2 linked regions of the Caenorhabditis elegans genome follow. The protein of the gene in region 1 interacts with the protein of each later gene in a pairwise test. Each region holds a gene or a part of one and is shown in the gene's direction. Other genes may lie near its edges.

Region 1 (9,971 bases):
TGGGGGTGGAGGAAGAGAAAATGGATAAGAATCAAAACGGTATAGACGCATGCAAATTGGGAGAAGATCATTAAAAAGTGTGAAAAAATTAATTGAATAGATAACAAATATTGCAGGAGAGACTGGGGGCGTTCGGACTTTACAAATTTTTTTTGAAAATGGCTTAAAATTCCTCATTATCATTTTTGATTTTGAATTATTTTTACTGAATCAGTTTTAATGGTTAGTTTAATCAGAAGTTTTAATCAGAAATCATTAAAACTCGAATAAAAAACGAATTGAAATAAAACGAAAACCAGCGTACGAAACGAGGGAGATTCCGAAAAAGAAGGAGAAGCTTGTGGTGACTGTGATGATAGACGAGACCTCGCGTATCCCAGGCATTGATAGAATTGAGAAAGGAAAAGCCTCGCCTTGTTATCAAGAAAAGAAAATGCTGGAGACGGGGAAAGATAAAAGGATGCTATCGATCGGCTATATTGATAGCTGTCCTTTAACTGACTGGCTTCCGAGAATTCCATGGTGACGTGTTGATGGTAGGAAGACTGTTTAAATAAACACAATTCTACGGATTGGGTAGTGATAAGCTGAAGCTGATAATTGATTTTCGATTGTAGAGTGATTCATTATCAAAAACTAGTTTAGATGAGCAAAAAGTGTTTAAGTTTGCACAGAGGATTACCCGAAGGAAACTAGAATACCTGCATGTGTGCATCCCTACTTTGTTCTGACCGAATCAAAGATGTTCCTTCTGGCTTAGAACCTTGGTTGAACCCTTGTGAATCTGAATGTGAAGCATCAGGTAGAAGCTGAACACAACGTACCAAACTAATCCCATCAGATTGCGGTTTTCCGTGTTTTGTATTTTGATCTATTTCGCATTGATAAGCAAAGACTACTCACAACTATTCTCTATTGTCAGAAACTTCTTTTATTTATTATCATTAACTCATAACCCAGATGTTCATAGAAATAAATGACTTCAAAAATGAAATAGTGAACTATGATGACTTAGGTGGAATGTTAGATGTCATCAATTTTACAACAATGTGTAAAGCCTGTACCTGTGGCTAACCCGAAATTGTAAACTTTAAATTTTCGATGAGAACAGAAAAGTGTCAAGGTTGTTGTTTTTTTAATTTGAAATTCAGAGTTGGAAAATCGCGTTTCGAATAGTTATTTTTTTCAATAAGTTTCTTTGTTTTTGATGATATTTTGGTAAATTAGATAGTTTCGAGCGTTTGTTTTAATATTAAAACTCTAATTGCCGAACTATTGATTCCTCCAAGAAATCCCACCAATAAATCCAGCATTCACCTCAGTTTCTCAGCTGACATAATAATCCACATACACACGTCGGTAAATATCTCGTGAAACCGTAGTAAATGAAAGTGACAAAAGATTGGCATTCAAAGACATAACATGGCGTCAAAAAACTCGTTCATTACCCTTCCGCAAACGAAAGTGCCAATTGAGCGTATCATTCTATGTTCATATCAACTGATTTTCTGCATCTTTTGACGTTCAATTTATCATTCACACACGGAACGAAAATAATGCAAAAAATACCGATGTGACAATGAGAAGCAATCAAAAGTTGTAAAGGTGACGGCGATGCCATTCAACTGACGATATTCATAAAACCTTTACATTTCGAATTAATATCATCTATCGGCAATTGCCAAAATTGTCGAATCGAATTTTTTTTTTGAAAAAAAATTCTGAAATTTTTCTATTCGATTTTGGTGAAAAAGTTAGGTTTTACAGTAACTTGGTCGAACCTGCTCTGAAGCAGCCAAATTTTTTGGAGTGATCATCTGTAACTATTCTCTATCGAATGTATATAGTGGCGTAACGAAGTTCGATAACGAGTTCAGAGCCTTCCCTTGTAAGGTCTTTGACATTTTAAAATTGAAAAATGAAAGGCTCAAAATATACTTTCGAAAGTAGGTAGCTAACAAAATCAACGCAAAACCTCTAGATCAACGTTTAAGCTTTCGAGATTGGAGCTTTCCAGTCTAAAAAGTAACTTGGTTTTTTTTGGTTTTTGAAGACTACAATACTGCACTTTAGGTTTCCATCTTCATAAGTTTGAAAAATTAATTTTATTTTCTCAAATTTTGAAAAAGTTAAACACAAGTTGATGTGTGAATAAATAAAAATAAGCTTATGAGTACACATGTTAGCTACAATAAATAAATAGTGAAGCTATGAAAAAGGTGGCGGAGAAATAATAAAAACGATAAAAAGTGTGTGGGATAAACGATTCACATTGATATGGATCACACAAAGTTCGTAAAAATGATTGTAACGGAATAAGATGTTGACTATGTGATATGATCCAGATGATCAGGAAAAGAAATAAGTGATTATTAAATGACACACACCCAAAACTTCATGATGTTTCAGATTATGTACTCATCATTGAGTAAAGTGATAAACACTTGAAGGGAGGAAAGTAAAGGATATTAGAAGTAGGGGGTCACACTTGGTCAATCAGTGTTATGTTTAAAAATATCTGCAATAAATGCAGCTGTAAAATAACCAAAAAAAAACATCTTTGCAGAAAAAAACCACATAAAATTCAGGTTGTTATACAGTTGCACATTTCTAAAACATTCGTCATTTGCAATGCATAAAGATATCACCGTTTCCGGGCATAAGTTTGTCTAGGTCACCCCTTGGACTTTTCAGTCATCTGATGCCGGTACTGAAAAAAAGTTGAAAATTTTTTGAATTCAGAAAAATTGAAATTTTTTAATGTGATAAACCATGTTTTTAAATCTGTGGTTCTAAACAATTGGTACAATTTTGTTCAGATTTAAACACCTCCATTGGAGAGCATGGTATTTTAGCGGGTTGTCAAAACTCCACGGTAATCATACTTTAAATAATTTTAAGCGTTTTGGAATTGAGGAATTAAAAAAAATTAGGAAAACTCAACGATAAGTTTGAATGTCTGTGGTTTTAAACAATTGGCGCTATGCTATAAATGCTACATGGAGCAAATCTTCTGATCGATTTGAGATTTTTTTTTGCTCTTTTTAACTATTGCTCTGTTTTCTTTATCCATGTAGTTTCATTCAAATCGTTCATTGTGGCATCTTAAATATCAGAAGTGTCGATTTTGAAGAACCACGTGGTTGGCACTAAAAATAACTCAATTTACTTCTTTGCGAATCTCGAGCTGGGTCATCAATTTGCTTCGAATTTTCCTCTCGCTGTAAATTTTATTTTGGTAATCTTGGAATTATGGAGAACCTGAGAGCAAGAAAACTTCATCGCACAAAGTTGACGAACTAGCAACAATTGAGCTTCGCCAACGTGTTACAAGTGCAAAAAGGAGTTGGCTCAAAAAAGCAGTATGTACCGTCAACAGAAAAATTGCACAAAATCTCAATCTGCACCCAACTGCACCCAATCTGCACCCTAAACTGGAAACCAAAACTGGAAAGTATTTATAGCATTTGTAGCATTCATAGCATTTTTTTGTAAACAACTGAACATAATGCTCTTGTATTCAGTTTTCTACAAATCACTCTCAATCTAAAAAGTATTGTATACATATTAATACTTCCACATGACATCCATCCAAACACCTTTCACTTGTTCACTGGAGAGAGGTCACTTTGCTTATTGAAATGGCACCACTAGAGGGACACATGAGAGACAATATGTCTGTGTTCTCTCCGAATTTCAAATATTTTCCGATTCGCAACCTGTTTTGAATTGCCGCCAGTCATCTCCTCCAGCCTGACCTCGCACGTTCTCCTTCCAATTCCAAAATGTCTTCCTCTTCATCGATCTCTTCTTTTTGTTCTTCTTGTCCCATGTTTACTTATTTTTCTTTTTCTTCATTTTTCCATTCTTCTTCCAGAATTCCCCGTTACCATAGTAACCATTTCACGTGCTATTCCCTCTTTTCTCTGCGTATGTTAATCTTCTCTGTACTATCTTTTAACTCTTCCTCTTGTCTTTTCCCATATGGTTGAATATTTAACAAATGAGCCCTATCCGTTCAAAAATGCTCAAAAACCACCTGTTTTTGTCGGGTATTTGTTTTATTTAATTTTTAATTTTTCAAGTCGAAAGTTTTGGAACTATTCAGAAGGATAAGAATGCTGGATCCACGAGAAACTTTTGAAAAATATGAACGAAAATCTCCACATCCACCACAGAATGTAATATCAGAAAGAAGAGAATTTGTTTCATGTGAATATAGAAGAGAACCTTTGCATCAAGAACAAAGTAAGTGTTTTCTTTAAAAAAAAACTTTTGAGAAAACCTTAGGAAGTGTTGGCAGAAAAGTATACTTTTTGGTTTTGCGAAAAGTATGTAAAACGCTCAAGTGAAGGAACTTTTGTTTTAGTTGTATATTACAATGTTTTCAATAGATTTTTGAATTCTGTGGTCAAAGACAGCTTCTTGATCAAATCAAATCGAGATGTGCCAGAGACAACCTTTGTGTTAGTGTTTCAGTCGCAAGAAGAAGGCTTTGTCGATATTTTCGATATGAACAGTGTATCTCATAAAATTGGTCTCAAAAATGTTAGAACTAATGGAATAAATTTCAGGTCGCCCCAGCTCAATTCTTCGCAATCCGTTGCCTCAATCACATCCATACGAAGAAAGAGAAAATGCTCGATTGGCATGTGAATACAGAAGAGATCAACAATCCGAACATGGTCGGTTATTTGAATAAATATTGCAATATTTAAAAAATCGTTGTGAAAAACATTAGAAGTAATAATTTCCAAGTCCAGTACCGGAGGAAATTTTAATCCAGTTTCACATTGTACTTTTTATTCGCCACAAAGCCGCCTGAAGCCCCCTAAAAACTCTAGGTCCTCTGAGAATAAGTACCATTTAATTTTGAAATAAGAAAATTCTTAATAACTCAAAATATGTGTTTGTAGGCCAACTTGCATGCGAACTGAGAGCCCGACCATCTACAACCATCACCACGTTCCTTCCTGAGAATACCAAAAGGAAAAGTAAGTTTTTATTTTCGGAAAAATCGTTTTTTTGTCAAACCTCAAAATGTTTGGAGTAAAAGTAATTTCTATAAAGTTTATACTTTTTGTATTATGAATATCTTGCTGAAACAACTTTTGAGATTGTTTTTGAAAACATTCAGTTTTAGGAATGAGAAAACTTTCTGAATTCTTGACTTTCCTATTGCACACCTGAGCATTTACATATAAACACTTCGATCTTTTTTTTTTGAAATTTCAGTGCCACTTCCAATTGGATGGATTGTTTGCATTGCTGTCTGCATTCCAATTCTAATTGTAATTATTGTATTTGCTGCAGTTTGGCTTCAAGAAGTTGGAATTATATAATTTATATATCAACATCACATTCCAACCGAATTTAAATCGGGTTCAACTAGTTGAAATTAGACTATTATGATTAAAAAACTGATTATTTAGAAAGTTTTCAACTTCGGTCTAATTTTGACATTACTATGCTGCCAGTCCATTTCATCTCATTATTTCACTTTTTCTCCGATCAATAAAAACTTTAAATTTTACAATTGTTCTGAAGGCTAAACACCAAACTTTGTTAACCCTGTTGTAAAACTATTTTCTTCAAAACTTTGTCGAAAACTTGGTTTCAAAGTGGTCAGAGCACAGAAGGGGGAATTTAAATCGAAAGAAGATTTGGGACATAGCCGTCGGCCAAAATTGAACAGAGAAAGAGTGTGTAAGATGAAGAGAAGCAGATGAATTCCCACCGTGCAATAGATTAGGTCGGCTCATCTTCAGAGCATAACAAGGAGCAGGTACCGATGTGATGAAGAGAGAAGAGGGAAGAGAAGTACTTATTGAATAAGGGAATGAGATGGGTTTGGAGAATAAAAAGTTGGAGAAGAAGAAAATTGGATTGGATTCGAACAAGATGATGCTGTAGAATAGACTAATGGAACACAAGAAATAATTGATGCTTCGAACTTTTGATAAGGACCAATTTTCGTTCTTAGCTAGTACGATACCCATGCATGGGCACAGATGTTTGCCGTTTGTAACATATATCTGACCACTAATGTTTTAGATGATATTTGCTAATTACCAACATTTTGACATGCAATTTGCAAAATAATTTCAATTTTATTTTTACAAATGCGCTGAAAACATTTCGTACGTTTTTTATTAACTAGTAAGCGTGAGACATATATGTGTGTCTCGCGCTTTTTTTTTAAATGAAACTAAACGTATTATTCGAAATCTGACTTCTTGAGTTTGAGAATCTATAAACTATTTTTAAAATTGCCGTCTGAGAGAGAGGGTAGATTTTTCCACGTCTGCAAAACTTTATTCTAAACTGTTTTTTGTTGAAAAAAAGTATGGGTTCCTCAAAATAATCGGAATTTATATTTCGAATACCACATGTAAATTTAAGTCAATCGCATTTATGTACTGCCTAGAACTAAGCAATTTTGTAACTATATCGTGGGATATGAAAAATTGAACCTGTTATGTGATAGCTGACATTTTGGCCTTCCAGAATCTCTAATGTGTTTTAGTGGAAGACCCCTTGTGCGCCTGTACTAAATTTTTTTCAGTTGAAATTACAATTTTTGCTGGCGAGATTCATAGTAATAATATGAATTACACTGGGTTCAGTACTAAATTTTTAGACGAAAATTCCAAACTCGCAAAAGTCTTTCGTCAAAATAAATTACAGATTCTGAAGCTCAATATGTCACGGATTGCATTACACGTTAATTTTTTCTATTGAATTGTTAAGTTATAACGTTTCCTAGTAAGGTAATTGAAGAAAACATGGGTCTTTCTATGCCCGACTTTCTAGATTCTAGATCCGAATTTTTAGATTTAACCTTAATAAACAAATTTTATTAGATTTGTTTCTGAATATTCTGTCTTAATGCTCTTGTACCTTCATTACCAAGTGATTTAATATCAATGAAATCAATTGATATTAAATCAACAGGTACTTATCCTATCTTTCCTTCTTCCTCCACTTGACACTTCTTCGCTTTGCCACTTCAATTCGGCTCCGCCCTATTTTTTGTTCAATCCTCCCCGACTCCGCCCTCTTTATAGCTCTTCGTTCATTTTGGTTCGTGCTACAAGATTGACTTACATTTTAAACAAACTTTCTGATAATTATTCACTGAATTCAATGTTGGAGAGCTATTTGCAAGGTACCTAATTGTTTGATTATTGATTCTCAATTGGTCCCCTCCAAGTAGCTCTATTGCATTGTTTGCTTATTTTCCCCCGAAAATGGTTTGTTTTTTTGTAACTTAAAACAAAATCATGAACTGCATTTGAACAAAAATAATTTCCTGAAAGTTCGGAAATGTATTTTTTAGAATCCCAGAAATATGAAACTTGAAATATGGAACTTGAAATATTTTGAACCAAGATGAATTATCTTATTTACTATTGTTTTTTATAACATTCGAACTTTTATTTGAAAATTTTATTGAACCTCGATGAAAAAATTAGTATAATTTCATGATTTAAAAAGGCATAAAAAACAAAAAATAGAATAGCAATCAAACGTTTTATGGGAAAACCATAAAACATGAGTGTCGGTTGCCATGTTATAATAATAGGTCACATTTTGAAAAAGCTTGGAGAGGCTCATAGTACTGAATTCAGAAATGTACAAAGATAACTCAGAGTGCGTGTTTTGTATAGAGAATTACGCTTTGAGTGTGAGAATAAGGGTCCTGGCCGAAATCGAAATTTACAACTACCTCGAAAAACACTGAATGTATTACATTTAAAAAATGCATTTACATTCTTCAACCATTCTTCATACATATTTTTTAAAAACAGAGAAGCAGGTACACAATATAATAAGAAGAAGCTCTGGAATCAATTTTAAGTACTCCAGCTCTTTTTTGAATGAAACGTCGAAGTCAATTTAATCGATAGTGACTTTCTTGACAAAACTTCCTAGCGCCATCTTGCAACTTCATACCAACCGTTATATATATATATATATATATATATATATATATATATATATATGTGCATTTTAGTTTGAAAACTCCTGTAATTTTTTAGATGGCTATTGCAATTTCGTGAGCTACACCTTGCTCACATTTGCTTATATTTCTGCAAATTTAAATCAGTTTTTGGTAAAGTTTTATATAGCTCTTGCAAAGCTGCAAAACATTTTTATGATGTCGCGACAATTTATCAATTGCGTTGATTGTCCAAAGTGAACATTTCAAATCAAAATAAATGTGTTTATTTTGAATTTTTTTTGCAATGTAATTTTTTCCAGTAATTCTAATTTTCGTCAGTCGGCACATACATACTTTGACAACTTGCTCTACATACTCATATATTTGAAGTAATTAATTTTGAAATGACAATATAACGAGATGGAAGAATACAATTTTGTTTTATTTCAAAACAAATCTCACAACAGACCACAATGAGTCAAATTTGGCAGACATTGAAACTGTCATTGGCAATACAATTTTTTCAGGTTCGCATGCAAAAAATGAAAAAATTAATTTTCAGGTACGCGAGTTATTTCAAGAAAAAAATTGGTGTGACCTGTTCGATATGACGGTTTTCGAAAAGTTTTTATAGGAATGAAAGTTGTTGTATTTAATGATCTATCTAGTTTAACCCAAAAATTTTGCATGAAATGGTTATATTAAATATCAAACTTTTTTTGATACAGTATGTGTCTGAAACGGACGCTTTGAAGCACTGGAAAATTTACTAGTTTCAATTTTTCTTGAATCTAAAACTATATTTGGTATTTTGGCGGAAAATGATGATTATATATATTTTTTCTTTTATTTCATAGCGGCTTTTGGAACACATTGTCATTTCGTTTAAGTTTGACAGAATCCGTAATGACATTTTCTATGTTTTAGTGTCAATCTTTCTCTTTAATAGTAATTGCATTGCCCTTTTGTAGTTGACTTCCAATAGGCATCAATCTCGAATTTGAATTAGTGTCAAAAATGAAGCAAAAAGCGGAGAGAAGGTGACAAAAAGCAAGTGATAAGTGTTGTCAGTATGGTGGTAATCAATTAGCACTGTAAACTGTAACATGTCTTCTTTGATATGGTCTTCCCTTTTCTCTCATCCTACCGTTATTCTCGTCTGCGCAACATTGAATCATTTTGTCTCTGCGACCATCTCCTCTTACCTTTTCCCGTCAATCGCTTCTTCTCTCTCTCTTTATTCTGTTTATGCTTAGACAGAGAGTACCTTTTCCCTATTCATTCCATTTCTCTTTCTCTTTTTATTCGTTCTTGTTTCAACCACACCGTTCAACAATAACAGGCCCACCAACTTTTTTAATTTTTCGTCCATTTTCTGATGAACTGGCAGAAACAACGACAGCATGTGCTGGATCGACTCGCTTTTGTTCCAGGTAATCTATTCATACTTTTTGCATATTTTTCTTGTTAATCAACAAGAGTTTGTCTAATTTTTTTGCACCACATTTGGATCTACATTTACCTAACTGGTTTTTATCAAAATGTTTCAATTTTCCAAAAAAGTTATTTTCCATAATGCAACTCTCTCATTTTCTTTTAAAAATCCAAACTTGGAATATTTGGCAATTCACCAAAACCTTGACTGAAAAGTTCAAAAATCTTAAAATTTTTTCAATTTTTATAATATTTTGTGGTTTTGAACTGTAATGAGAGTATTGACTGAAAACTTGATCAAATCTTTAAATTTGTGAAATACCTTTTTCCTAGTTTCCCCGTGGGTCGCACAAATTAAAAGATGGAAAAATTTGTATAATTATTCAGGTTACTCTTTTTTAATTTCTGGTTATCCTAACAAACATTCTGTTTTGAAAAAATTAAAAATCAGAAACAAAATTATTTTTGACCCATCTGATTCAAAATTCATCCAATTTCAAGCTAGATTTCACAACTAACATTAGAGATACCACAATGGTTATTTTTCGTGTTTCTGCGTTTGAGTAGTGGATGCGAGGTAATTACTGAAATC
Region 2 (13,666 bases), 7.6 Mb from region 1:
TGATCAGAAGGACGCCGAGAAGAAGTGATAGGATAAGGAGACGACTGCCAAGAAGATCAAGCCATGCTTGTTCTTTCTAATAATGTTCTTTATATTTCGTTCCTGTTCAGATTTCTTATTCCCCCCTCCCCATTCGGTTAATGTTCTTCTCTCTCTTTTCCTTGTTCAGCATATCTACTAAGTATCCCTCTCTGACGAGTTTTATATTGGTTTTCGAGACAATGAATGTTTTAAACGTTATATTGATGTTATTAAATGTGTTATTCAGTCAATCGGAAGAAAAACTAGATAAAAACAAACTATTCAGCTGAAATTCATCGAAAAAAGAGGAAATTTTCGGTTTTTCTCAGAAAATCAGTGGAAACATAATGAGAAACATAAAATATGCACTTTTTTATTTTTTAAATTACTATTCTCTATCACAAAACATTTTTTTTCGACTTTTATTCGCTTAAATAATGAGAAAAGCGCTTTTAGCCAGAGCTGATATTGACGAATTGTCGTCAAATAAAATGCGCGTACGCAAAGTACGCAATAGTGTACAAAACTTATTCGCGTTGAATATTCAGTCAGCCAAATGGGACTACTGTAGAAATTTCTTCAGCCACGTTAGCTTTGCCTCCCCGTGTTTCGGGGAAATTTCCAATATGATTTGCGCGTAAGATATGATGCATGTACGCAAATACCGAGATTTATTGCACAATATTGTGCGCGCTACGCAGAAATGGCGCGAAACTCGTAGAATGCTCATTCTTGCAACCTGCGATCTATCAAATTTCGCCCCTCCACTGGTTTTGATGTTCTACGTTTGCACTTTTCGGACAATTTTTCAATTCAAAATTAAAAAAAAGGAGACCCGAAGAACTCGGGGGATGTCCAATTGGGGGGATTACCAACTCGGGAGTTTGGCCCCGCCCACAGAACCGTGGCTTGCAATACGCCCATTTCTGCAACTGCCGCACGGTTTTAAAATTATTTTTTCTTGTTAATTCTCGCTCTATTGAGAAAAATACAGTTTTAAAACCGTGCGGCAGTTGCAGAAATGGGCGTATTGCAAGCCACGGTTCTGTGGGCGGGGCCAATCCCCCGAGTTGGTAATCCCCCCAATTGGACATCCCCCGAGTTCTTCGGGTCTCAAAAAAAGTACACTTTCTCCTTCATTCCTTGAGGAATTTGTATCACAAGTAGTTAATTATTACTGATTTCCCAGCTCGCACATTGTTTTTACTACTGATACGTATTTACTCTTTTTACTCTTCTGTCTGAAAAAAAAAGCGAAAAACACACTCTTTTCAACTGCGTCTCTTTCAGAATTACTCTCCATCGTCGCCAGACACTGGTTGCCTGGAATAGGTATTAGAGATTTTGCCGTTTATTTTTTTCTTTTTTTGTCAGTGCACTGGCCAATGTAATGCCAAAATTGCAAACAGTTCTCTATGCAAATATTAGTTTCTCGCTGACTCATTCCATCGATTTTTTATTTCGCAACACGCTACCATCATCATATTCCAAACATAAATCATCATCGGTTGTCGCCGAAAAGTTGCGAAAACTCGCTGAAAAAACCAGTAAATGTCGTGAAAATCACGTGAATCCTTTTAAAATTTGAACTTCCCGCCGTGTACAGTTTAAAGTGCGTGTGACGCAGCAAGTGCGCTCCGTTGAGAATCGTGCACTCGAGGCGTTTTTGTCCCAAAATTCAATATTTGTTGGCCTATTTTTCACATTTTCCGATAGGTTTTTTGTTGAAAATGCCAATTTTTATACTAAAAATCTATTTTCCTCAGCGATTCCGCGTATTCCCCAGGCGTTTATCTGCAAAACCGACTCGCTTTCATCTTTTTCCTTCTCAATTTTGAAATTTTTAGCACATATTCTGATTTTCAGGGTTCCCTACAATGGACGTCAATCAATTCACTGAGCTCATCACAAAACTGCAGTCAGCAGACAATGATATCCGAAAACAAGCTGAAGAAGTCTATGAAAAGATTGAAGGACCAACCAAAGTAGCTGCACTTTTCGAGGCCTACACACACCACACGAATAATTCTGATGTTAGTTCACTCAAATTCCTATATATTCCATGAATTTTCGATTTTCAGGCCAGATCCACAGTTTTGGTGTTTCTGCGACGAGTTCTCGCCAGAGACTGGGATGCGATTTGGGAAACGCTGAACGAGGAGAACAAACAGCGCATTCTCGCCAAAGTTCTCGAGATGATAGTTCACGAGACCGAACTCTCGATTAAGAAGAAGATTGCTGATTTGATCTCTGAAATCGCTTCAAACCTCATCGACGATTCTGGAGATATGACATGGGGAGGAGTCCTCGAGCTGATGGATCATTGTTTGAAGAGCGAGGATCTTACCGGAAACTACATAGCCCTGCTTATTCTTCGCGGATGCCCAATAATTTTTGGAAACAGGCTGGCCCACTTCCTTCCAACCCTCAAAGTTGTCTTGGAAAAGTGCATGGCTACACCGGATTTGCAAATCAAGGCCACCGCCGTCCGTGCTGTTATCGCTTTCGCTGTTGATAATGATGAGGAGAAGGATGTTGTCAGGCTTATGACCTCTCTTGTTCCAAATGTTCTTCAAGTTTGCAATGAAACCAGCGACGAGGATGATTCAGATGGACCACTCGGAGAGTTCGCCGAGCTCGCCTCTTCTCTGCCAAAATGCCTTAACACTCATATGTCTCAGGTTCTTCAAGTCACTCTTGCTGTAAGTAATTTAAATGGCCCAATTTAAAAATTTCATTTTTTCAAATTTCAGATTGCTGGAAACAAGGAAAAGAACGAGATGGTCCGTCAGAACGCCATCGAAGTTATTTGCTCGTACATGGAATCCGCACCAAAAGGACTCAAGAAATACGCACCAGGAGCTCTTGGACCAATTCTCGAGACTCTTCTTTCATGCATGACCGAAATGGATGACGATGTGCTCAATGAGTGGCTCAACGAGATCGAAGAGGAAGAAGACTATGAAGAGTAAGGATAAATTTTTAGTTTTTCTTCAATTAAATTATTTTTCAGTATCCCAATCATCGCCGAAAGCGCCATCGACCGTGTTGCTTGCTGCATCAACGGAAAAGTGATGCTCCCAGTGTTCCTTCCACTTGTCGAGAAGCTTTTGACCAGCGAAGACTGGAAGATGAAGCACGCGGCTCTTCGCGCGTTCTCCGCCGTCGGTGAAGGGTGCCAAAGATCTATGGAACCACACATAGAGCAAATTATGGCTCATATCACCAATTACGTCAATGATGCTCATCCAAGAGTTCAATACGCGGCTTGCAACGCCATCGGACAAATGTCTTCTGACTTCGCTCCAACTCTTCAGAAGAAGTGCCACGCCGCCGTCATACCAGCTCTTCTCGAGTCTCTTGACAGAACCGATGTTCCACGTGTCTGTGCTCATGCCGCTTCGGCTCTTGTCAACTTTGCCGAGGAGTGCCCAAAGAGCATCATTGGACAATATCTTCCATTCATTCTTCAGAAACTCGAAAATGTGCTTTCCGCTGTGTTCAATCGTCTCGGAGACAAGAGATACCAGGTTGTCGTTGAGAACATCGTCACCGCCATCGCCTCCGTCGCTGAAGCCGCCGAGGAGCTCTTCAAGGAACATCATGCTCGCCTCATCCCGAACCTCGTTCACATTCTTCAAAACGTCGGAGAGCTCAAGGAGTTGAGAGGAAAGACCATCGAATGCATCTCTCTCATCGGATATGCTGTCGGAAAGGAACAATTCCACGCTACTGCAATCGAGATCCTGAACCTTCTCGGAGACGGAATGAAGGATTTGGCTATCGATGATCCACAATACAGCTACATGATCAGCTCATGGACTCGTTTCTGCTCTATTCTTGGAGCCGATTTCGCACCATTCCTCCCAGTTGTCATGGATCCAGTTCTTCGTGCCGCTCGTTACCGCCCAGACTTCAATATCTTCAACAGTGAGTGTTTTTTAGTTTTACGTGTTAAAAAAATATATAAATTTCAGACGAAGATGTTCACGAAAACGAGGAAGGAGTTGAATACCACGGAATCGGAGGAGAAAAGACTGTCGGAATCCGCACCAGCGGTCTTGAGGAGAAGGCAACTGCTTGCGATATGCTTGTCGCGTTCGCCAAGGAGATGAAGGAGGCTTTCATGCCATACGTCGTCGACGTCTACGAGCTCGCCATCAAGAATCTCGATTTCGGACTTCACGACGGAGTTCGTACGGCTTCCGCTGAAATCATGCCATGCTTGTTGACCTGTGTTGAGAAGCAAGGATTGGCTGACAAGCGTCGTTTGTGGTGCGAGTTCTTGAAGGCATTGACGACCTCTATGGAGGAGGAGGACGATGTCGAGATTCTCGCCTCGTTCATGACGACCATCGGATCGTGCATTGAGGTTATGAAAACCGAGGGAATCGCCGAGGAAGAGGTTCAACTCATCATTTCGGTGCTTCTCAAGCAACTTGAAAACTACGGAAAGAGAATGAGCGATCGTCCAGTTGAAGATGAAGATGACGATGATGCTGAAGCTAAGGAGGAGCTCGATTATTTCATGGAATTGGAGGCCTCATGCCTTGGAGCCATCTCTGATTTGACTCACTCTCTTATGAAGGAGTTCAAGGGAACTATCTTCGAGGGAATGATCAACGTGTTCAACTGTGCCATTCAACTCATCGAGGGATCCAAACAATACTTCGAGAGACAATGGGGAATGTGCCTTCTCGATGACGCCATCGAGTTCGGTGTCGGACATATGCCAACTCGCTTCCCGAAGCTTATTCCAATAATGTACAAGTTGTTGGGAGATGAGTATCCTGAAGTGAGACAAGCAGCGAGCTACGGTTTCGGAGTTATGGCCATCAACTACCACCAGATCAGCGACTACCGAAACGAGATTTTGAGCTGTTTGGAGCCACTGGCCGCCATGATTCAACGAGAGGACGCCCGAGCCACCGAGGAGAGCACTGTTGCCACGGAAAACGCGATTTCTGCATTTGCCAAAATCATCGGCAATGTGCCACTTCCTGCTGAAGCCTACGGAAAGGTTGGTTTTAGAATTCAGTTTTTCAAGAAAAAAGTTCCATATTATTTCCAGGTCGTCGAGATGTTCCTGAGCTGGTTGCCAACATATTCAGACACCGAGGAAAGCCCCTACATTTACACGTGTCTCGCCGAATTGTTTGATAAACAAGACGCCGCACTTTTTGGACCAGAAAATCAGAATCTTCCGAGAATCTTCCTTGTTTGTAAGTTCTAATCTAAAAAAATCCGTAACTTATTTTATTTTTATTTGTATTTTTCAGGCTTGCTCTCAATCGCCAACGATGCTTTCAACGACGACGATAGCGGCAACCAAACCAAGCAAAGAATTGTCACAATCCTGAAGCAAATCTACGCATCGTTCCCACAATTCGCGCAGCAAGATGGAATCGACGAGCACCTTACCAGTGTCCTTCAACAAACTCTCAATGGGCAATAATAAGGACTTTTGTTGTGTTTTTTTTTTTGCTGTTATCTTCTCCATCTTCACCGAAATGAATCTTGTTCACTGTTAATCGCTTGTTTCGCGGCTATCCTCCTATCATCATCATCAGTTTCTTCTTTTGTTCCACCACTTCTCCCCGATGCCACATTTTCTCTAATTTTTATTAGTTACCTATCGACTTTTTTTCTGTTGTGTTGAATATTATCCTCATTTTCAAATCTACTCGTTAGTTGTTACAGTTAAAGTTTTTGAAAATAATTTCAGCCAAAACCTCCACTTTCTCCTATACTCCAAATCTAAAAGTCATTCTTCCGTAGTCCTCATTGTTCCCCCTTCCACCCAACTCTCTCCCACCACAGAATATCTCTTCTGTCACTTGAAGACTATCCTCGATAAAGAGAGCTATTGGCGGTTACCCCCTCTTCTCTTCTCTTCTCGTTTGTCATTGGAGCGCGCTTACACGCAGCAAACTGTAGCTCTTATCTAGTTTTGCGATAGAATTCCGTTATCGTGAAAAGTTGCAATTTTGACATTCTCGTCCTAAATTTCCAATTGACAGCGCTTTGACTTTTTCTATGATTTTTTAATTCATACTCAATTCTGAATAATGACTCCTGAAGGGCAATCGACGAGGTGAGAGAAAAATCGATAATGTTAAAAATTCGCGGGTTTTTCGAGAAAATATTATACGTTTGTGAAAAAAATTCGAATCGAGACCCAAACGAGGCGGCATGAGTTTCTGAAAAAAATATATATATGGATTCAAGATTTAAAAAGTGCATTGTTTTTAAATTTATAATGCTGGAAATATTACCCAAATGCGAAAATACGGTACCAGGTCTCGAAACGACCAATTTTTTAAAAATAAAAACAAGCGTGCGCCTTTAAGGGAGTACTGTAGTTCTCACATTTGCAAATTCTTTCAAAAAAATCATGATGCTTTGAAAACAACTATCGATGAAAATTTAATTTTTTGAAAAAATTGATACAACTTTTTTGGTATATGAAAAACGGGCAATATTTTCGGAATTTCGAAAATTAAATTAAATTTTATGAAAAGTCGATAAAAATCGATACATTTTTGTTTGAAATTGCACAAATTCAAATTTTAGAATCTAGAAATCTATAAATTCAAATTTTTTAATCCAGAAAATCGATTATTTTCTCAAAAAATTGAAAATACTCTTCAGATTCATCTTTTTTGTGGAATATTCAAATTTTTGGGAAACCTCTGATTTTTGAAAATTCCATTTTTAAATCAGAATTATTACGGCAACACAAAATTCTGAGAATGCGTATTGCGCAACATATTCGACGCGCAAAATATCTCGTAGCAAAAACTACAATAATTCTTTAAATGACTACTGTAGTGTTTGTGTCGATTTACGGAAATCATTCATTAGTCGATAAATTGTTTTTTAAAAAACACAAAAAAAATGAAAAAACCGAAACCCCGTAAATCGACACAAGCTTTACCGTAGTGATTTAAAGAGTTACTGTAGTTTTCGCTACGAGATATTCTGCGCGTCAAAAATGTTGTGCAATACGCATTCTCAAAATTTCGCGGTCTTGTAATAATAGTGATCATGCCACTCAATACATCAAATTTGACGCGCAAAACTCGACTTTTCAGCAGTAACCCACCTCCTGTTCAATACTATAACACGTTTCCGGACGATGATAATTTACCGCCAGAATATGGACCATTTGATGAAGTTGAGCCGCTTATCGAGGCCGAGCAACCCATGAAAATCCGTACTTTAGTCGCGGCGGTCGGCTTAACGGTTCTCGTATTCACGTTGTTAATCTCAACGGTCGCATTCGCTTCATTGTATTTTCATTTACTAATGCAGGTTTGTTAGAAAGCTAGGCCACGAGGGTGAAAACTAGTCCGCAGTCGGTTCATGGCTGGCCGATTTGCTACGTGGCCGATAAAAATAAAACTCGGCAAGGTTTCCAGAACAATGCCCGCCTACCCCGTTGGCCTGGACCATCACTTTCTCCACTCGGAAAATATTCGAAAGCCGCCGTCGCCGCCGACAACGAAATTTGCTCAGAAATCGGTCGGAATATTTTGCTGAAAGGCGGAAATGCGGTGGATTCGGCAATCGCCGCACTTTTCTGTATCGGTGTAATGGATACACATTCGGCCGGAATTGGCGGCGGACATTTTATGACTATTTATAATGCGTGAGTTGTTGGTCTCGCCACGAATTGGAGCGGAACATCAATAATTAAAAAAAAAGATAATTATTAATATTGATTTTTCAACTAAAAATCAATAATCGAAAAGGAAAACAAAGAAGAAAAATTTTGGAAGAAAGAATGATTTTCCTAGGCCATTAAAAACATTTTTGCAAACATCACATTGTGGCCTCACTGGTTTCTGGCCTTCGTCAAAGCGTTTTTCTCGCGCTCCATTGACAATCGTCTACACGACGCTCCGTAAATTTACCCCGGTCGTGGCCTAGTCCAAACGGGCTAACTCGGCAAACTCTTCCATTTCAAAATATGAGGAAAGCCAGAAGCGCGTGTGGCCTTTAAACTTCTGCCGTGGCCTAAAAATATTTTCAATGACTTAGAAACCTCTAAAATTCTTCCAGAACGACAAAAGAGTGTACGGTAATCGATGCTCGGGAGATTGCTCCGCTCGCCGCAACAGAGGAAATGTACCGTGACAAATGGAATCAGTCGAGAATCGGATGGAAGGCGATTGCGGTGCCCGGAGAGCTTCACGGCCTCCGGACTGAATTCGAGAGATTCGGAAGTGGAAAAGTCGAGTGGAGACAGTTGTTGAAACCAACTATTGATTTGTTGGCTGAAGGTGGGCACTTTTTCTGCGAGCCTAGAATATTTCTGTTGGCCTAAAAAACTCCTAACGGCGTAGAACATTTTTGATGCTCAAAAACTTTTCTGGTGGCCGTTTTTAGACCGGCCAACAATCCCTAGGGGTAACGGATAACGGGGGCAACGGATTTAATATTCCCCGGGGACAACGAAAAAGGGGGGGGGCAACGGATTCAACGCTGCTCGAAGGCAACACAACAGGGGTAACGGAAATGGAGGCAACAGAACAATAATCCCTGAGGGCAACAAAAAGCGAGGCAACGGAATATTGAGCTCTTGGTAAGTTAAATGTTGAACTTTTTGTAAAAATCAGTTTAAAAGTTTCTCCAATTACTGTGTACGTTAAGATGGGTATCACAATAAGTCTCACCACGGCGTGTCTCACCACGATGGGTCTCATCACGATGGGTCTCTCAACGGAGGGTCTCGCCACGATGGGTCTCACCACGATAGGCCTCGTCACGATGGGTCTCGTCACGATGGGTCTCGCCACGATGGGTCTCGCCACGATGGGTCTCACCACGAAGGGAGACGGGCCCAAATTTTTTCAGGAGGAGAAGACGAGTAGTTTATTACATTACTAAAAATTTCTAGACCATCAAAAAATTTCTAGGTCACCATAAAAATTCTAGGCCATCATAAAAATTTCTAAGCCATCATGAAAATTTCGAGGTCACAAAATAAGTAACTATGTTATCGGTTCATGTTTCTAGGCCATCCTAAAAAATTCCAGGCTACCCAACGTCCCATGCCCTTGCAAAAGCTCTCAACCAAAACGAGCACCAAATCCGCGCGGAGCCCACCATGAAAAACTTCATCAACCCCGAAACTCAGCGTGTCTTCCAACCAGGAGAGCAGATAAAAACCCGCCAAAACCTTCTAGAAACATTCCGGCTACTCGCAAACTCCACAGATCCCATCGCCGACTTTTATACAGGTCGGCTCGCCGAGCAACTCGCCAAAGAGTTCGAAGCCAACGGTGGGATCATCCGGCTTCAGGACTTTAAAAATTACAAATCAATAGTCCACGACTCAAAAAATGTGATCTACACAAAGCTGAAAAACGGGCGCGGAGTCTGCGGCCCGCCGCCTCCCTCGGGCTCAGCGGTGGCTCAGGCAATACTTAACGTGATGGATGGCTTCGAATATAACATGAAGTCGTTCAACGAAATCGCAACGTTATACCATCATTTTCTGGAATCTAGCAAATTTAGTTATGCGGCTAGAAGCTGGCTTGGCGACCCGCAATTCGTGGCAAACGCCACGGAAATCGCCAAAAATATTACGTCAAAAGAGTGGGCGGATTGGGTTAGGTCGAAGATCACAGACACGACGCATCCTGATGATTACTATGGAGGATCGTTTGAAGCACCACCGCAGGATCATGGAACAACTCATGTATCGATTATCGATGCAGACGGCAATGCAGTTTCGGTTACGTCTACCATTAACTTATAGTGAGTTTGGCTTTTTTAAAGGAAATTTTTGGTGGCCGAACTTCGAAAACTCGGCCAGCAAGTGAGAAGTTAGTCCTCAGTCGACAAGCAACTGCAGTTGATAAAAATGAACAAGTTCGAGGTCGTCACCAAAAATTTTAAACTAATTAGGCCAGGGGATGATTTTAGGCAGTCTTAATAGTAAATTGTTTACCACCTGGATTTTATACCGAAGTGATTTCATAATCTGGGCCACGTGTATAATTTCTAGACCATCAACCAAAGTTTATATACGCCCACCTGAAATTTGGAGGCCATCACCTTTCAATTCTAGGCCATCAGTTAAAAACATTTTTAGGACGACGTTCAATTTTTAGGCCATCAGTTCAAGTTTATAGGCCACAAACTTAAATTTCTAGGCCATCACTTTGACTTTTTCGGATATGAAGACATTTTCTAGGCCACCGCCAAAAAAACTCTTCCACCATCTCAAATTCTTCCAGCCTGGGTGCCCTAGTATCCTCCGAATCGACGGGAATTCTCTGGAATAACGAAATGGACGACTTTTCCACTCCCGGTCATCCGAATTTCTTCGGTTTCCCACCGTCTCCCGCCAATTTCATTCGCCCTGGAAAACGCCCCATGAGTAGTCAAAGTCCATTAGTGATCTTTAACACAAAAGGGGCGGAGCTTATGGCGGTCGGCGGAGCCGGTGGATCCACCATTATTTCGGGTGTTGCTGGAGTTGCACTGCATGCGTTATGGCTGAAAGCAGATGTTAAACAAGCTGTTGATGCTCCAAGGATGCACAATCAGTTACAGGTAGAGAATTACACGCGAAATTTGATTTTTTTTTTGTTGGAAAAATCGATAATTGTCAAAAAGTTGATTTTTTAAAAATAAAAATCAATAATTTTCAGAAAAAAAACTTCTGAATTTAATTTTCAATCAATTTTCGACTTTCACATGAAATATTTTTCAATCAATAAAATCAAAACCTTTCCCAATTTCCTTATTTTTTAGCCAAATTACACGTGGTACGAGCCAAACTTCCCGAAAGCCTACGTGAAATCCCTGATCGATCGTGGTCACGTAATGAAGGCAGTGAACAATTTGACAGTTGTCACCGCCGCCGAACGACTTTCCGACGGCCAAATCTATGCGAACAGTGATTTCCGAAAAGGGGAGGAGTCAGCGCCAGCGGGATATTGATTATTATGTTCATATTTTAAATTTTGTGACTTTTTTGTTGATTTTTTGTAGAAATCGGGTGAAATTTGAAAATAAATGTTCTAGTTTTCGCACTTGTGTTAACACTTTTTTACTGGTCTTGTGGCCGCGTAAATAGGAAACTCGGCCATCGATTTTTTAGAACATTTTTTATCTTAAGAAAAACTCTTTTCATAATGTTGTGTATTCGAAGGCGAGACGAGGAGGAGAAGACGAGTAGTTTATTACATTACTAAACTAAGGAATAAATAAGTTAGTTCATAGAGTTCACGTTGTACGATCTTCTTAGCCACGTCGTGGGTCAATACACGTTGATACCCAACACATAAATAGTAAGTTTAGTCAGGGTTTTTCAGTTTTCAAGCCAAAAATTTGTCTGTAAAAATTCAAAAAAGGAAACAAAGTTTTTTTTTAAATTAAAATTCTTCATATAAATTCAGAGTTTTAAAACTTCAAACCCGTAACAATGAACGAGGTACAAATGAGACAAGGTGAAACATATTACACGTTCGTCAAAATTTTTTTTCGAGGAAAGTGTAATAATACATGAACCCATAATAAAACGCGATGATGTTGACGATGATGATGATGATGCAGAGCAAAAAATGATGACAGAATTATGAGAAAAAAACGAATAAAATTTCAAAATCCTAAGCTTTCGGGCTCTGTGAGCCATGGAAAAATGAGCCAGAACACAAAAAAAGGAAAATATGGAAAAAAGCACCAGAAAATTATAAGACACGGGGATTTTTTGACACATGGAGTAGAAGAAAAAAAAAGAAAGAATTGAGCTAGATTCCTTTAAACATCCGGCAGATTCCATGACCATGTTAACCGTAATTCGTTGAGTCGAGTTGTGATATTTCGTCCTGTATCCCGGCATGCGACCAAATATTTATTATTTTTGGACCATTGATTTGCGAACAGTTTGTTGACCAGTTTATCGCAGAAGACCTACAAAATTTGGATTTTTTTTCAATTTTTACACAAAAAAATCAAGAAAAACTTTGTTTTTTAGAATGCAAAATAAATGTATAAATTCTAGGAGTTTGAACTTTTTAATTAATTTTTTCTTTTACGTTTTGAAAAAAAGGAACTACAGGCCTGTCCGGGAAATTGTAAAGTTGAAAAAAATTTTCCTAACAATTTCACAACTTTTTTCCTATTACAAAGTAAATAGGTAAATTTTTTTCTGATAGTGGAAGTTAAATTCTACAAAATAAACTCCTTTCAATCAAAAAAAAAATCACATTTCTGACTGAAAATTCTCAAATTTTCAGTTTTTCTTTAGAAAAAATTCGGAAAATTCACTTTTTTAAAAATTTTTTGTCAGTCGTTCGTTTTTTGAGAATTAAAACTTTTAGGAAATTTCTATATTTTTTTTGAAAATTCAATTTGAACATCAGAATGTGATTTTCGATTTTTGGAAAAATCAAAAAGGTTTTTGTCGAATTTATTGGTTTTTTATGAATATTCATCAATGCTGTTGCTTTTTTAGCAATTTTTCACAGGTGGACGAACTTTTGCAAACTATGAAAAATTCGGCCATCTGGAAAAAAGCTCGTTTTTTGCCGATTTTATTGATTTTTCACAATTTTTCCAAACTTTTTCAACTTTCAAGCTTACCTCCAAATTCCCGTTACTCCTCGACGAGCACACCATATTAGAAGTGCATCTCGCCTCACAGTCTCCAATTTTACAATCATTATCACTTTCACACGGACGTCCTTTTAGGAGAGAATCCAATTTCGATTTCGTGTACACCATGTCACCGTCCATTAGAGCGAATCTGCAGAAAAATTGAGAAATTTGGATTTTTAGGGGTTTTCAAAATTTGAGTTTCCGGTTGGATTATCATCAATTTTTTTGTTTAAAAAATCATTAATAACTTTTATTCGAATTACGTTTCGAATAATTGAAAATGTAGATTTTTTCGGAAAAAAAAATCAAATAAAAAAACAGGCAGACCTACCTTTTCGGATAATCTGCTGATAACCCGAGATTATCAAATCGAACATCACACCATTGAAGGGGTTCGTCGAGAAATTCGTATAAGAGCTTCAGGGTTCCCATGACATGCACCAAGATTTTTGCCTGTAAATTTGGATTGAGAAAATTTTTTTTTTAAAATCAAGTTAAAAAAAAATCCCCACCTTCAAATTCGTATAATACCCTTTCATCTTGAACGCCACCAGTGACTCAGTCTGATACATATGTCCACACGTCCCAATGAGCTTCGGCGTGACACGTGTCAACGGTAACACTCGGAACAGGATGAATTCAGGCTGCTTTAACAAAGCCCACAAGGATCGTCGATCCGCTTTCGACATGGCTTCTCCCTTGGTCCGTAACAGTGTCGGCCACACAGTCTCCATTAAATGCCGTCGATAGTGTTTCGGCCATCCGAGTCTCAGCTCATCATTCACCATATCGACTACTCGATCCGAGAACTCTGCATCCGTCAGATGGTCTTTCGGCTCGTCGAATTGATCCATAAACGGTTTTGTGCTTTTATAGACAGCAATCTGTCCGCCATCTTTCACTATGACCACAGTCTTGTGCCCTTCGTAAAAGTCAGTGACAAGCCAGTTTCGATCATAGCAAAGTCGATTACAAGAGTCTCCGGAAACGTCTCCTCGCTCATAGGCATCACATAATCCGGTGAGTACTT

What was found.
Region 2: the proteins of F55D12.1 (region 1) and C53D5.5 interact in a two-hybrid assay, tested with the Caenorhabditis elegans proteins (one large-scale study listed by BioGRID).

Annotation. Positions count from the first base shown.
Region 1 is NC_003279.8:7,880,234-7,890,204, forward strand, and holds F55D12.1 (uncharacterized protein), read left to right. Parts: upstream 1-4,085; 5' UTR 4,086-4,118; coding exon 4,119-4,248; intron 4,249-4,574; coding exon 4,575-4,685; intron 4,686-4,916; coding exon 4,917-4,994; intron 4,995-5,235; coding exon 5,236-5,342; 3' UTR 5,343-5,531; downstream 5,532-9,971. Other genes in the region: F55D12.2 (CRAL-TRIO domain-containing protein), read left to right, coding at 9,324-9,378.
Region 2 is NC_003279.8:303,211-316,876, reverse strand, and holds C53D5.5 (Gamma-glutamyltranspeptidase 1), read left to right. Parts: upstream 1-6,086; 5' UTR 6,087-6,089; coding exon 6,090-6,115; intron 6,116-7,115; coding exon 7,116-7,335; intron 7,336-7,442; coding exon 7,443-7,672; intron 7,673-8,085; coding exon 8,086-8,306; intron 8,307-9,062; coding exon 9,063-9,786; intron 9,787-10,268; coding exon 10,269-10,587; intron 10,588-10,788; coding exon 10,789-10,977; 3' UTR 10,978-11,066; downstream 11,067-13,666. Other genes in the region: imb-3 (Importin N-terminal domain-containing protein), read left to right, coding at 1,899-2,054, 2,103-2,723, 2,775-2,989, 3,035-3,951, 3,999-5,041, 5,093-5,243, 5,301-5,476; C53D5.1 (FAM69 protein-kinase domain-containing protein), read right to left, coding at 11,797-11,949, 12,622-12,784, 12,968-13,089, 13,149-13,666.